Linked DNA regions of Arabidopsis thaliana. The protein of the gene in region 1 interacts with the protein of each later gene in a pairwise test. Each region holds a gene or a part of one and is shown in the gene's direction. Other genes may lie near its edges.

The links.
Region 2: the proteins of CYCH;1 (region 1) and CDKD1;1 interact in a two-hybrid assay, tested with the Arabidopsis thaliana proteins (2 studies listed by BioGRID, with this or other methods).

Annotation. Positions count from the first base shown.
Region 1 is NC_003076.8:9,767,976-9,776,545, forward strand, and holds CYCH;1 (cyclin H;1), read left to right. Parts: upstream 1-3,327; 5' UTR 3,328-3,786; coding exon 3,787-3,846; intron 3,847-4,062; coding exon 4,063-4,113; intron 4,114-4,189; coding exon 4,190-4,268; intron 4,269-4,364; coding exon 4,365-4,477; intron 4,478-4,584; coding exon 4,585-4,658; intron 4,659-4,840; coding exon 4,841-4,961; intron 4,962-5,069; coding exon 5,070-5,138; intron 5,139-5,407; coding exon 5,408-5,449; intron 5,450-5,632; coding exon 5,633-5,710; intron 5,711-6,061; coding exon 6,062-6,120; intron 6,121-6,258; coding exon 6,259-6,343; coding exon of another isoform or gene 6,344-6,409; exon of another isoform or gene 6,410-6,428; coding exon 6,429-6,704; coding exon of another isoform or gene 6,705-6,709; 3' UTR 6,710-6,900; downstream 6,901-8,570. Other genes in the region: ALY1 (protein ALWAYS EARLY 1), read left to right, coding at 65-341, 429-620, 724-861, 999-1,076, 1,180-1,449, 1,564-1,731; ACBP5 (acyl-CoA binding protein 5), read left to right, coding at 8,126-8,287, 8,532-8,570. UniProt on the Arabidopsis thaliana protein: Associates with CDK-2 and CDK-3 and activates the CDK kinases.
Region 2 is NC_003070.9:27,711,140-27,718,850, forward strand, and holds CDKD1;1 (cyclin-dependent kinase D1;1), read left to right. Parts: upstream 1-3,770; 5' UTR 3,771-3,973; coding exon 3,974-4,069; intron 4,070-4,352; coding exon 4,353-4,651; intron 4,652-4,746; coding exon 4,747-4,855; intron 4,856-4,940; coding exon 4,941-5,066; intron 5,067-5,143; coding exon 5,144-5,379; intron 5,380-5,460; coding exon 5,461-5,742; intron 5,743-5,830; coding exon 5,831-5,879; 3' UTR 5,880-6,281; downstream 6,282-7,711. Other genes in the region: AT1G73700 (MATE efflux family protein), read right to left, coding at 6,415-6,474, 6,561-6,647, 6,740-6,858, 6,948-7,186, 7,277-7,333, 7,423-7,509, 7,586-7,711.

The DNA of each region.
Region 1 (8,570 bases):
CTGTGTATGTATGTCGATGGAATTATAAAGATACAAAAGGTTACTCATTCTGTAATTTTTTCAGTTCTCTCGGTAGACCTCGGAGATTGTCTCAGAGATTCCTACAGGATGAGCGGGATAAACTCCAAGAATATCGTGAGTCTGTGAGAAAGCATTATACAGAGCTGCGTGGATGTGCTACGGGAGTGCTTCATACAGATTTGGCCCGTCCTTTATCAGTCGGGAATAGAGTGATTGCCATCCATCCTAAAACACGGGAGATTCGTGATGGCAAGATTCTTACTGTGGATCATAACAAGTGCAACGTTCTCTTTGATGAATTGGGTGTCGAGTTAGTTATGGTAAATCACAAACTATATCAATTCCGTTGATAGTTTGTCCATTTTTTGTATATCTCAGATGATCTAATAAATCCTTTTTTCTGACAGGACATTGACTGCATGCCTTTAAATCCATTGGAATACATGCCAGAGGGTCTAAGGAGGCAAATTGATAAGTGCTTGGCTATATGCAAAGAAGCAAGGCTTAACAGACACCCAAGCTCTGATGCATCTGTTCTGTTCTCTCCTTCTGTGCTTGAAAATGTCAACTTTTCCATGAATCCTCCTCCTGCGAAACAGGTAAACAAAGATTGACGTTTGACTCGTGTGTCAAAGCTTTGATCTTCGTCTTTCTTTCCATACATTTTTTAATCTCTGTGGATAATTCCATAATTCTCTGCAGGATGATATCAGAGAGCCAGTTTTGTATGGTAAAGTAATAGCAACCAACACTACTGATCAATCTATCGTAATCAATAGCAAAGTAACAGGAACAGAAATTCAACGGACTCTGGCACTGCAGCATACTTCCGATGCGCAGGTAACTAAAAAGTCTATGCCTGTGGAAACTTTGTCTTTAGATTGCTCATGTTCGAATAAGTATAGACTTATTTTGTGTACTCTTTTTGCTAATAGTAACAGCTACAGAAATTCTTTTCTCATGATTCTGCTTTCCAGGAAATGGAGCCAGAAATGATTGAAATTGTCATTGAATCAAAGTCAATAGCGCAAGCAATGGTGGATGCAGCTATAAAGGTATTTATAATATATCTAGAGACTTCAGAGTCTTCTAAATACAGAGAAGCCAAATTCATACAACTCTAACATCTTTTGTTTAAATCGTTGTCAACCGTTTTAGGCTGCATCGTCGGGGAAGAACAATGAAGACTCAGAGAATATGGTTCACCAAGCTTTAAGCTCCATTGGCGAACATCAGCCATTAGACAACTCTATAGTGCCTGGTATCAAGCATCAAGAGTATACCAATGGCAGCTTGGATCATCATTCCTTAAACACAGCAGAGCCGATGAGTAACGGTTTCATCTCACAGGAAGGATCAGGAAAAAACAAAACACCAATGCCTTCAGAGCTTATCACCTCTTGTGTTGCATCTTGGCTCATGATGCAGGTAAAGGAAATAATTTTGTCTTGGACTAACGAAAGTGTAATCTAAATCAAGAATACCAAAGTTTTCACTTGATGCGGTTTTGATTAGAACTCTTTGTGTGTTATTTACCTGCAGATGATCTCAAAGAAGCAGTACCCACCAGCAGATGTGGCTCAGCTAATGGATACAGTAGTGAATGACTTGCAGCCACGGTGTCCACAGAATATGCCGATATACAGAGAAATTCAAACTTGTATGGGATTGATCAAGACTCAAATAATGGCTCTTGTAAGAACGTCATGAAACATTTGTGTCCTTTGTAATTAACCTGACATCGAAGATAACACTTGGAGATCAGATTTAATTGTTTGGATTGTAGAGGTTAGTTTAGTTTATAGTTAGTTAATAATTTGAACAGCTCCAAAGGCTGTTGATAATTAGTTACCATTGATTCTGTAACTTTTTTTTGTCATCATTCATTGTAACTTTGGTTACCTTTTACTTTGGAGCTGTTTTTTTTTTCTTTCTTTCTCAGTGATTATTTTCTTGGGTCATTTTGGATCCTAATGGCTGAAATAATTTATTCCCACCTTAATACAAAATCTCAAATATATACTATTCCTTAACTAAAATTCTAGAACAATGCCAAATGGATATGTTTGAAATACCTTTAATAACAACTAGGATTTAACCTGTGGTGTACCACGGACAAATGTTTTATTCATATATAATAATATTAAATTTTACGGTTTTTAATTTAGTATTTAAGTTTTATAATTTTATATTAATGTTATAACTAAAACAAATGGTGATGATAAAATAATAAAATAAATATTTAACATGTGCTATATCAATCCAAACTCGTCCCACTATATTTCATATCAATCCAAACCCGTCCCGCTATATTTCTCATCTCATGATATTTTTTTATAAGTTTAAATAATAATAATGTTTTATAAAGTTAAAATATATCTATAATATTTAAAAATAATAATTATTTTTTACTTAAGTTGGAAAGATTTTTGGAAACGTTTGTTGAGCGCAATATAAAGTATTTAAATTTTCAAATCTGAATAATTAATACCAATTATATATCTTGAAAGATCTTTGGCAACTATTGTTGAATATAATATCTTGTATTTAATTATCGACAGGAAATATTTAATGTCAATGGCATGACATTGTAAATACAAGTACAAAATTTATTTGCTAAAATGGCTGCAAAAATGTATATGTAGATTTACTTCTAATTTTAATGTTTCAAAGGACAAAACTAGGCATGACCATAAAATCCGAAGCCCGAAAAACCTAGTTCGCTTTGGTTCGAGTGGATCTAAAGTGTTTATTTTGGGGTTTTGGTTTGGTTCGTGTAGGATCTGAAACCTGAACAGATACCTGAAATATCGAAACTCAAACGGATACATGTAACTCGAAATAATACGTATACATAATTTGTCGGTAAATTCAGGTTCAATATCAGGTTTCAATTAAATTTGAGAACCAGCCCGAACCCGAATAGACCTCAACCGATATTTTCAGTTCCTAAATGTATTTTCAATCTCTTTACCAAAGTAACCCAAAAACCCAATCTAAACAGACCCGAAAATCCGAATGTCCAGACCTAACTAAAATCGTGAGTCAAACTCAAAAAATGATTGATTAACACTATATTATACTTTTACTTAGATTCTATAAATTGGACACATGTATGGGTGTTATTAAGGGTTGGAAACATAAATTTAAGCCATGACCTTATTTTTGGTTGGAAAATTCTTGTTCTTTTTTTTGTTAGTAAAGGGCTGTTAATAAGGGTTTTAATGGGTTAGCGAACGACACCGTTTATAATAAATATGTTTGCTAAACGACATCGTTTGACCTTAGGGTTTATTGTTTAACATGAAAGAACGTCGTTTCACCAACGTTTCTTCTTCCTCGCAAGTCTCAAAGCCAGGAACGATCTCGCCGTATGAGCAACTTCCGACATTAACACTGTATTGCTCTGCCGTACTCTCCTCTTTTTCCCTTCATACTCGTCTTCACATCTGAATTCCGACAAGATATTGCGTCTGCTCTCCTCTCTTCCCTCATTCTCGTCTTCTCATTACCAAAAACATCTTCTTCTCGTAGCTAACTCAATCCAATTCCAATCTCCATTCAAATCGAGCACCAGATAATTTTTTCTCCTAAATTCTAATATAAGCCCTAAAATTCAAAATTGAAATATCTATAGAATCTCCTTCCGATTCAGACGGATAATCGCCATCAACAGCGTGTGAATTCGATCAAAAATCTGAACTTTCCACAAAGAAATTCGAAAGCTCAGATTTTTCGATTTCGAAAATTTTGAAAACTCAGTTAATGGCGGATTTTCAGACATCAACACAACGGGCCAAGTGGATTTTCACTCCCCAGAAACTGGTAATCCCCTTCTCCTTCTGATCACTACAATGCGGCTTTATAATTATATTTTGTTCATCTTTGGATTTTCTTTGCTTTGATTGCTTCATAGAGAGTCGGATTAATCGAGCATTTGGAACTCTTTGTTACTTAGTTATGTGTGTTGTTGTTGTTATTATCTTACTTGTTGTGTAGAGATATTGGTATTGCAACTAAGCTGTAATGTTGTAATTGTAGGCAGAGAGATATAAAGCTGCTAACCAGAGGGCAGTGCAAATGCTGGAGAAGGTTTGTTAGAATAATTGTTGATATGGAGCTTTAGTCCTGTATTCATGTTTAGATTTTAACTTATTGTTATTCATAGTGTGGAACAACTCAAGTTGAAGTAGATGCTAGTGGATCACTAACATATCCTAAAGATAAAGTTGGTTCAGGAGATCAAGGTAAAAATTTTGGTTCCTTCAATATCTACTTCATACGTATCATAGTTTTGTTTGTCGAAGTTTAAATAATGTTACTTTTTGCTTTGTTACTCTCAGCTGATAAGAAGCTTAAGCCTTTGAGTGCTGATGAAGAAAGGTTCATGAGAGCATTTTATGAGGCAAAGGTCCAAGAAGTGTGCAGTGCCTTTGCATTTCCTCACAAGATTCAGGTGCATTTCTACTCGTCGAGATAGAAGTTTATGATGAAGTTAAAAATAAAATACCTGATTTTTGTTTGCTCTCTGAATTTATGTTTCTTCCTTCTAATATTTTGCAGGCAACAGCCCTCCAATACTTTAAGAGATTTTATCTGCAATGGTCTGTTATGCAACATCATCCAAAAGAGATAATGTATAGTTCTTTTAAATCCTCAAAATGGTCAAAAGCTTTGCTTTTTTCAAGAGAATAGTTTTGAAATTGTTTACCAAATGGAGCTAAGCATTTTGTATTTCTGAGCTCTGAGAGGCTTTTTAAGTCAGTCATAAATGGTCCATTGTTGTAATTTGGACTAATTGTTACCTTTCATTGAACAGGTTAACCTGTGTGTATGCAGCTTGTAAAATAGAGGAGAATCATGTATCTGCTGAGGAAATTGGGAAAGGGATTAACCAAGATCACCGAATAATTCTCAAGTACGAGATGGCTGTTCTTCAGGTATGATATGAGTCAATTAATTTGTACCAACTTCCCTATGTTTATTTTTCCCTGGTGTTCTTTTCTCTCTCTATTCTTTTGTTCATATTATATTAACTCTATGTGCAGAGTTTGGAATTTGATCTGATTGTTTATGCACCGTATCGTGCAATCGAAGGTTTTGTCAACAACATGGAGGTAAATCAGTCCTGTCTAAATTTCTTAGTAGGTTTTCTTATTTCAACTGGCTTTTCTCTGTTTACATCTTATAGTGATGAGACTCTTTTTCAGTTTATTGGCAATTGTTTTGTTGCAAACAAAATTCTGAATGTTAACTTAACGCCAAGAACTTGGTGAACCATAATAGGATATACCAAGATTTTCAATACTTTTTTCGGTGTGTTATTTTTCATCCTTGTTGAACTTCACGCTATCTTCAAAAGTAACCTCATCTTTTCATCCTATAGGAATTTCTTCAAGCTAGAGATGATGAAATCCAAAAACTAGAGGTAGATCTATCTTCAGATATTTCCTTTATCTTCACTAGATTTTAAGCATGTGGTAACTGAATGTGGGATCAAAATGTAAATTTTAGTGTAAGTTTGTGATCATAGCTGTAAGTCTATTTACTTAACAGGCTTTATTGAAATATTATTTTCTCATACTGGCATAACTTTTCAAGTATTCTGCAGAGTTTGCTCAAAGGGGCGACAGCAGAAGCCGATAAAGTTATGCTCACAGATGCTCCACTCCTCTTTCCTCCTGGCCAGGTGGGCATGCTAGTTTATTTTGTCTCCCTAGCCTCTTATTATCAGATTAAAGATACTGAATAATATCCATCAAAGAATCTGGTTAAACTCATTGTTTGGGATATTTCAGTAAAGCTTTAAATATGCTACTCAAGACATAAATTTAGGATGAAAGTTGGTGCTTTGTTTTCTCTTTGACTGATATTTAAGTGAAATTAATGAATGTTTATGATATAGTAGTATAGCTTATCGATATATACTCACCTTGTTCCTTCTTTCAGGATTTTTCGTTTTTCTTTAGCGTATATGTAACAAAAGAAGTATCACAAATTGTTGTACTGTCTCTCAACTCTTGAACGTGTGCCCTTGTAGTTGGCATTGGCGTCGTTACGTATTGCAAATGGGGTTCTTGGAGTGATTGACTTTGATAGGTTATTTCTCTTATTCTATATCCATCCCGATTATTTACCCTTTTAATCTTTCCATGATATTAATCTCGTGGTCTTGAATTTCTGTATATGCAAAGCTTTTTACTGGTTGTATTTTCAACTAAACTGCATTTGGTGCAGGTACCTAGAGAACATTGTTTCTCAACCGAACTCTGAGCACACGACTTCAGAGCTTACAAAGTTACTTGATAACATCGAATATTTGGTATTTACTAACTTCCATAATTATCTTAACAATGAAACTTGCATATCTAAAAGGAAGTTTTACTAGATGCTCTCTCTTATCTCAGGTAAAGAACTACAAGTGCCCAAGTGAAAAGGACATGAAGCATATCAACCGGAAGCTAAAATCTTGTCTAGGACATAGTTCTTCACATGACGAGTACACTAACAACCTCTCTTCTACTAATTCTTTTAACCACTATATATATTTCATAAGCTTTGCTTCTGCAATTGACTCCCTTCTCTATTTATCTTCATCAGGAGTAAGAAACGGGAGAAGAGATCAAAACACAAGTCCCATAGGAGCTCCAATGATACACCAAACGGGGCACCGCCACCCATAGGTTGAGTTTCTCGTACTGCCATTAGCAATTCTTCCTTTGCACTTTGGTTTAGTTTTAATCTTATTGAATGAGAAATTCGTCTTTTATAGTTTCTTCCCCGTTGTTGTTCTTACTAGTAAATTTGAGCAGATTATGTATAACAATGATATTGGCCATAAGTTTTGTTTATTCTGAAGATGTTAATGAATTTATAACAAAACTTCCATTTATTTTAAGTTTTGGTGTACATAACAATCGTCAAAAATGGTTTGTTTGCGATAATGATCAACTTTTTACATGATCAAAAGTTTTTCCAGACATTTTGATACTTTCTAGTTACTACCACATCTGTTCTTACACAGAAACAAATGGATATGACTAGTGTAGCGGTAACTATCAAATCCTAATAATAACAATGAAAATTTGTATTAAATAACCAAAAACCATCGAAAATAAAATTTGGATTGTGAATGAAACTTGTAAAGATGCTTGATTGGTTGTGCTAAATGTCTTTTACAGCCATAATATATTTGTTAAAGACTAAATTGTTGCCAATTATGTTATAGTTTTTTTCTTTAACTTAGAGCCCCAAAAAAAATCTTTTTGTTTTGACTGTAAATCTTTAATTTTCTACATCCTATTTTGTGTTGTAGATTTTTTTTTTTTTGTAGATTTTTTTTTTTTTTTCTCTCCTCTAACTTTTTGTCACGATTATTTTCAACTAATAATCTAAAATGTAGTTATATGAATAACAGATAAAGTATTTTATACATTTAGACAAATAATTTATAAATTTATATAGATTCCATTTACCTAGATGTGCAGAATTCTTTTTGTGTTTTTATTATAAAATTGTTATTAAATAATTTATATATATTCCATCTACCTAGATGTGCATAATTCAATTTGTGTTTTTATTTTATAATTGCTATTAAATAATTTTAGTAATTATGATATACAATTTTCTCATTTTGAAAAAAGGTAATTTATAAATATAAAATTCAAATATTTCTTAATCATAATTTTTAGTTACAACTAAAATATTTATTGCCAAAATCCTATATTTTTCAAATCTACAAAACCAAGAGGTTACCGTCAAAATTCTACAGTTAGAGCTTATACACTTATTGCCAATATTATACATAAAATATTTTACCTTATGCAAATGCCTATGCTTTTATGGGTCATAGACGGACCTGGCTACTGTGTAACTAATCACCCACATAATTTATCAGTCAAACATAACAAATTCTTTTTGTGCCAAAAAGTCAAAAACGTTAGAAACTGGATTTTGGAAGTTGATGCATGCAAATAGCAACTTGTCGTGCCGCGCTATATAAACGCTGCATCAAGTTTTCGTAATTAACTAAAACCAAATTAGTATTAATCCGAAAACTTGAAACTGTGGCTTCCTCCTCAAATCTCCGATCAACGGAAACAAAATGGCTCACATGGTGAGAGCGAGCTCTGGCCTTTCTTACCCGGAGAGATTCTACGCCGCCGCATCGTACGTCGGCCTCGACGGATCTCAATCGTCGGTCAAACAACTCAGCTCCAAATTCTCCAACGATACCTCTTTGCTTCTCTACACGTTGCACCAGCAGGTTCGTCAATTCGATTTCAATTGAATTCCATAGGGATCTGTTGATTTCTCTTCTTTCGCAATTTGCTACAGTAGATGTTGGTACGATCTCGCTCCGTACATTAGACAATGGAACTGTGCTTATACTTGGGATCATTGCTATGCGAAAACTGGTTTATTTTGTCACTGAGAGAGAATTTATTCAATCATCTTTGTGATAAAGATGTTTACTAATTTTGAAATCTTCTGCCTTGACATGTTAACAGGCTACTCTAGGACCTTGTAGTATTCCAAAACCGAGTGCG
Region 2 (7,711 bases), on another chromosome or scaffold:
AGATATTTCACATTTGTATAAAAAAGTCGAAGTTTGAAAGAAATTAAAAGCAATTACAAAATTTAGCTAGATGTGTTATCGGAAAACATTAAACGCAACTGATAGGTGTTTCGTAGAAACGTGATAACAAGTACAATGTCATAAGCATTTTCGACCAAATGTTAGTCTGGCAAATTATAAAACTAAAATATGTTACTTCGAAAAGTGTCTCTATAATTAAAGTAGTCCACCAACCCTTCACGGAATTTTAGGTAGAGTTACCTGATTTCAGATGTAGGGTAGTCAGTCTTTATCGCCAAATTTTCTATTTACAGCATATTGAATTTGATAAACTTTATATTCATTGATGTATCTGTAGTATATTTTTCGAAATCTGTATTATATTATCAGACATTTGTAAAATAAAATAATCAGTAACTTCTTCCACTTCTTCTTCTGGTTTAAGATTCAGTTTTTTTTACGGCATTGTTAACAAATTAACAATTCAAAATAATTGAATCATTCTCATAACGAGAAATTGCTCGATACATACGTTGGTAAAAAAAAAAAAACTATTCATTCGAACACAAGTAGCTCTTACAACATTTGTGTGCCAAAGGCCCAATAGAAGGCTTAGTTAAATCAGTCAGTCGTTACATAAATATGGTGAGAGAATTGAACGATTAGGGTTGACATTACACTATTAGGCCTTTATTTGGGCCTATTTAATGGGCTAGATTTGACCTTATGTTAATGGATATTTTGCTTACAGGGTTTGGTCCAGATCTGCAACAGACCTCTTCTGTCGTAAGAGGAAGATTGACAACTTTATTTTTTCCATGAAGGGTCATAAAAACGAGGCCCAATTTTGAAAACTTCGAAAGTACAATCAAAATAATGAAAATGTCTACATCCCAGTTTAGCAACGAAGGCAAGACCAGCCAAATAAGTTTCTACACATACAACACCAAGAGACCTCATGTTTGAAGACATACTATGTGTCTACAAGATTATCTTATTGTGCTGAAACCATAGACTGAAAGTCTGAAACATCGAAGGCTGGTTGATAGTTCTTATGAAAACTTTTGGACCGGATCGACATGGTGATCTAAGTTTTCGGAATTTTGTTTTTGGGATCAGTTTACCTGTGTTTTTCGGATATTTTTGAGTAAGTTTACTCTTTAAACTAGCACATAACTGTATCTCGATTTCTTTTGGGTTGGAGACTCAAAGTTCGAGACTCACAACTGTAGCACATGTAACTTGTTTATGGAAGTATAACAATATTAAATTTAAAACAAACAAAAATCATAATCTTTTTAGTAAACTAAAAATTGTCGAATTATATGTTTAAAACATCATTTTTTTAAGTGAAATTTGGTTTACATGATGACTCCCTTAAAAGAAATTGTTTAGCTAGGGTTCAGTTTCAATTATTCTGCCTAAAACCATTTCTTTATCAATCAAACTATAATAACAAAATTTGCTGTAGTTTACGTTCGATTTCAAATTATATGGCCAACTCCTACAGGTGATCCGAAAAGACATTCAATTTATTGATATGTGTTATTTTTATATCTTAATCTTAACTTTTATTAACTTTTAATGTTCTTCAAGTTTATAATCTTCATTGTGTAAAGACAGGAATCAAGTACTCGAGTTGACAAATGAATCGTATAAGTTAGTGAATATCTTTGGTCCTTTAAATCCGATCCGATCATCATTTTACATATATGACAGAAAACTATTTTCGCAATTAACTAAAGGACTGTGATTGTAGAACAGGATTTAGTTGTTAGATTAGATATGAGAATAATCATACAAAGATAGTCAGTGCATATGGCAGCAAAGATTGCAAAATTTAAAAGTCTCCAAAGAACCAAGGATCTTCTCATCTACCCGAGGCAGTTGCATAAACCCTAGTTTTTTACAAGAAAAACAAATAACACGCTAAACATTGCTTCGGAATCAAAATAATAACCATATAATTCTCAAATTATAGCGAATAATCCTTACCAAAAAGAAATTATAACGGAAAATTAAAGATGAATCCGAATAAATAATTGTTGAGTAGAAATAAAGAAAAATAAAAAATAGAGAAGGTGAAAGAAGATGTAGAGCTCCCTTCAATCCAAAGAAGAGTAAAAGCCATTAAAGGGCAAGTTAAAGCTCCTGAGATATGCAATCCATATAACCAAATCCTTTTTTACTTTACAAGGATTAGGGCTTATGGGATCCATAGCTTAGCAGCTTTTCTTTACCCTGCTCAACTCATGTTTGAACTTTAAGGAGCTCTACTTCCATCGTCAGATCAAGATCTATCGAAAAACAAAGTATCTTGTCAAATATATTATGGATCTGACATAAGCAAACTGTAAAGACCTTTAACTCTTCATAAAACAATGAGAAAGTTTTGATGAGAACGTGGATTAACAAAAACACCAAAAGAGGTAAATCTCTTACATTAGAGCTATGAAGGAGATATAAAGACAGAACAAAAGAGAGGAGGAACCCTAATTATTAACCCTAAACATACTTAGAGAGAAGGAAAGAGAGAGAGAGAAGAGGCCACGTCATGTTTTGGAAGAAATGATAGATAGAGAGTCGTAATTATAGTGGTTTAGATATTCGTGATAGAAGAATAAAAAGAAAAGAAAAAAAGGAACAGGTGGGTGCATCTGAAAAGACATGGGAAGGGTCTGACATTGTTTGTGTTAGATTCCCTACGCGTCACATGCGTCCTTCTCGGCTTTTGTGCTTCACTCTTTTTTTTTTTGGGTAAAGATAATAAAAATAACAATTATTATCGTTCCTGCCAACTACTAGTCCACTACATTTTTAAGATGTAACTTTGAAAATGAATTTGGCCGACCATTCTTTATTTCTTTTAGAAAATAATGTACAAGTGTTTCCGTTTGGTGACCTAATTCTAAATCATTTGTTAGCCCTAACAACTAGAAATTTCAACACGAAATAGTGAAATAGGTTGATGTACGGTCAGGATTATAAGTCTGATGATGTGGGCACGAAAGCAGGTAATTATTTCTCTGTCTGAGCAGAATCTATTGCTAGATTTATTACAACGAACTTGTCTTATTACCCTCACGAGTCTCGTCTCTTTCACAATTCAATGGCTTATTTTTAAGTGTGTTTTTTTATCCATCGTGTAAGTTTTTTTTTGAGTTGTTTAAATAAAAATTTGTATGATGAAAAATGTTCACTAGCAAAATACTTGACCCTGAAGTATCCTAAATTTTTCTGGTTCATACTCAAATGTTAGGCTTACTTTGTTTTCTTTGGTCACCTAAAAAAAAGTGGACTGATCAGCCTAATTATTTGTGCAAACTTTAATGATTGGGCTGCATCTCTTTCTTATGAGCCCATTATATGGGCCCAGAAGTTAACAGTTGCTTGTCTAACCTTCTCGGAATAGTTATTTGGGCCTTATATTTGGGCTTGATTCCACGCTTCATGAAACGGAAGTTAATCCGGTAGTGTTCTCCTGGTCCATGCTGCGGAAAATATGAGCAAGGTTAATTTGGCAACTTGTTGATGCAGCTTTTTATTTTCTTGGATTTTTTTTTTAATTTCTAAGTATGTTTAGGCAATGTTCCAATATTCATACAGCTAAAAAAATGTTAATATTCACAATCATCTTTTGTTTAACCACTAACTTATAACATTTTAAACCGAAGAATAATTGACGAGTCAATGTTGAGTAAACCGGAACAATTTTGCTTTTCATTTATAAACCTTTAAACGACGTCGTTACGATAGACGCTTCCAGCTTCGTTTTATTTCTAGCTTTAGAGCGTCTCTTTCCTTTTTCGTTTACTTTTCAATATTTTCCCCTAAAAATGTCGATTCCTTCTGTAATTGCTCTAACGGCTACTTTTTCTCCAGAGCATCATAAGATACCTCAACGTTAACGATAACAAATTAATTAAGATCAGTTTCGATCAATTGCTTGTGATCCGATTAGAGAGTTCCGGAGATGGAACAGCCGAAGAAAGTTGCTGATAGGTATCTAAAGCGAGAGGTTCTTGGTCAAGGTACTTATGGAGTCGTCTTCAAAGCTACTGATACAAAGGTGAAGATGATTCCTCTCTCAATTCTTCATATTTTTTGTCGATCCCATCGAAACTAGGGTTCCAATTCTGTCGTGTGTCTTTTGACGTGTCTCTTCCTGGGAACAATTTGGTTAAATCTGATAGCTCTTAGGTTTTAAATCAGCTAAAGTTTCGATCTTTACACTAATATGTGTTCTTAGAAGTCAAAGTTTGCATTTTTATGTTCTTAATGGATTTAAAGTGTGTAGTTTTTGTTTAAGTTTGTATAAGGAAGCTGATTTGTTTTGTTGTGGCAATTTGTAGAATGGAGAAACTGTAGCGATCAAGAAAATAAGACTTGGTAAAGAGAAAGAAGGTGTGAATGTAACAGCTCTTAGAGAAATCAAATTACTTAAAGAGCTTAAGCATCCACATATAATTGAGTTGATTGATGCGTTTCCTCACAAGGAGAATTTGCACATCGTGTTTGAGTTCATGGAGACTGATCTCGAAGCAGTTATCCGAGATCGTAATCTCTATCTTTCGCCTGGTGATGTCAAATCTTACCTCCAAATGATATTGAAAGGTCTTGAATATTGCCATGGCAAATGGGTTCTGCACAGGTACTATCATTGGAACTTAGAAGCAGAACTTGTTCTATCTCTAATAAGGTCTGTTTTGATTTAAACTTATGGATGATCATTCGTATTTGTTTCAGAGATATGAAGCCAAACAACTTGTTGATAGGACCCAATGGACAGCTGAAACTTGCAGATTTTGGGTTAGCACGTATATTTGGTAGCCCAGGTCGTAAGTTTACCCACCAGGTATGCTTTGTTTGTTGTGACAATGCTATTTATGTAGTAGTTCTGCTATCTTTCGTATCTTGATGTCCTTTAGCAATTTTCATAGGTGTTTGCTAGATGGTATAGAGCACCTGAACTTTTGTTTGGTGCAAAACAATATGATGGTGCAGTTGATGTTTGGGCTGCTGGCTGCATTTTTGCTGAACTTCTATTACGCAGACCATTTCTTCAGGTGAACCTCCATTTTGATTGTGTAGTAATCCAGTGCATCTGTCTACTTGTTTATCTAACTTACTTATTCCATTGCAGGGAAACAGTGATATTGATCAATTAAGCAAAATCTTTGCTGCCTTTGGGACTCCAAAAGCAGATCAGTGGCCTGACATGATCTGCCTTCCTGATTATGTAGAGTATCAATTTGTCCCTGCTCCTTCTTTACGTTCTTTACTCCCAACGGTTAGTGAGGATGCTTTAGATTTGTTGTCAAAGATGTTCACCTATGACCCCAAGTCTAGAATATCGATTCAGCAGGCTCTAAAACACAGGTACCTAAAAATCTCCCCTATGGATAATGCATAAGAACAGGTTATTTAGTTTTGTTCTCAAACCTTGATTTCTTTTTAAAGGTACTTCACATCTGCACCTTCACCTACTGACCCTTTAAAGCTCCCAAGACCAGTTTCCAAGCAAGATGCTAAGTCATCTGATAGTAAACTTGAAGCCATTAAAGTGCTGTCACCAGCACATAAGTTTAGAAGAGTGATGCCTGACCGAGGAAAGTCTGGTAATGGTTTCAAGGACCAGAGTGTTGATGTCATGAGACAAGCTAGCCATGATGGACAAGCACCAATGTCTTTAGATTTCACCATCTTAGCTGAGCGGCCACCAAACCGACCAACCATCACCAGGTAAAAACAATTGGTTTTATTACAGTCAGTTCTTGGTCAGCTTAAAAAATGAAAACTTTTGATGAATTCTTGATTTTTGGATTTGCAGTGCAGATAGATCTCATCTGAAGAGGAAACTTGATCTCGAGTTCCTATAGGATATCGCGTAACAGGCTTCTTCTTGACGTCGTTCTTCAGGTTCCTATAGCCTATAGGATCTCTCTTACTGGTTGGTTCCGTTCAGTAATTCCTGAAATTTTTCATATCACAACTAGTGATGACGAATAGTTTGAATCATTCTTTCTGTCTAAAATAAAGAATATAAAGCACAGATGATTAACTAATCATCATGTACACCCTTCATAGAAAAATCTCTGTTTTTGGCCTATGTTTAGAAGAGAGCTCTGATCCCAAACTCATTCTTCGTTCATTTCCAATTTAAAGTCCAGAATTTTTAGTATCGAACACGTTGGTGTATTACATATATGAATTTTTGATCTCATTACACTAATGCTCGATGAGAATGGAAACACATCCAAGGAATTTCAATAACTATGTAACAATGGTAAAGTTTTCTAAAGACCAATGTACGGCCACATCAATTAGAAATTCCCAATAAGTTCATATGGGCATACAAGAATAAAGCACTCATTAAGCTCATTTGCAACTGCTTTTTCCTCAGACGTTTATTGATCATTGGACGTCACCATCTTTGTCATCTGAAGATCCGACTCTGTTCGTAGCTTTCTTTGCCTAATCATGTAAAACAAGAAACAGAATCACATTATGGCAGAGTTATTATACATATAAAACTGAGCCGATCAGTTAAAAGGTTTTACCTCTTTATCCCAGTTTGTGAATATAGTGACTAAGGAAAGACACAACACTTGAACAGACAATGCTGTTACGATTCCCAGCCAAAGCCCCTACAATATGAAAATACCACAAAATAAAAGTTTCTATAAAACTAGTCTTGTGTTTGAACTTGAGAATGAGAAGGAGAGTTTAAGATTATTACCCGACCACCAATGTGGAAATGGAAACCAAGTAACAATCCTAATGGAACTCCAACAAGATAATATGATCCAAGATTCACACATGCTCCAATTTTCTGCCATCCACATCCTCTAGCAACCCCTGCAACCATAAATCAAAACTATTTGACCAGGATTCGAACCGGACATATATAAACAAGGAACCAAAGCCAATCTTCTATCATTCAAAACCTGAGAGTACGCATTGTAAGCCATCAAGGAAGTTTCCACATGCAACAATCGGTATCATTGATGCGGCATATGCGATGATTTTCGGGTCGCTGCTAAAAGCATGACCTAAGATCTTCCGAATCGACAACAAAACTGTTACAACCACAATTCCCTCGGCTACTGCTATGCCTACAATGACATATACAGCCAGTTTTGCCACTTGTGGATTCCCTGCTCCTAACTCGTTTGAGACCCTTATGCTGCAAGTTAACAGAAACACACAAAGTGAGATAGGTTGGTTTGATGAGATTTTTCTTTTTATGAGCTCTTGGATACATTTTGTTACTGACCTTGCAGCGCCACCAAGACCAACCGAAATCTGCCAGATTGTTAGGGAAGTATTTAGACTGAAAAGTTGCAGAAATGAGGTTGATCAAATATAAAGAAGAAGTACACAAACTCTGAGTACCATAAGACAAAGATAACCGAAATCTACCAGATTGAAAGCACCGAAGTTTCTAAAACCGGGTTAGGAAGAAGGCCTGAGGCAAGAACCAGAAGCTCGAAGGACCAAAGCTCCAAACTGTTTCAAACAGAATTTGATTAAAATGCAGATACTGGAACCTGAACAATGCAGCATTTTATGTTTGATGACTTACCAGACCATGACCGCTGAAGGAAAAGCAATTTTAGAGAAATCATAAAGTTCTTGAAAAGCCTCTTTCGAAAACCCGGTCCAACTATGCGAGCAAGAAGGCGAAAACTTGACATAACACGAGAGGAGA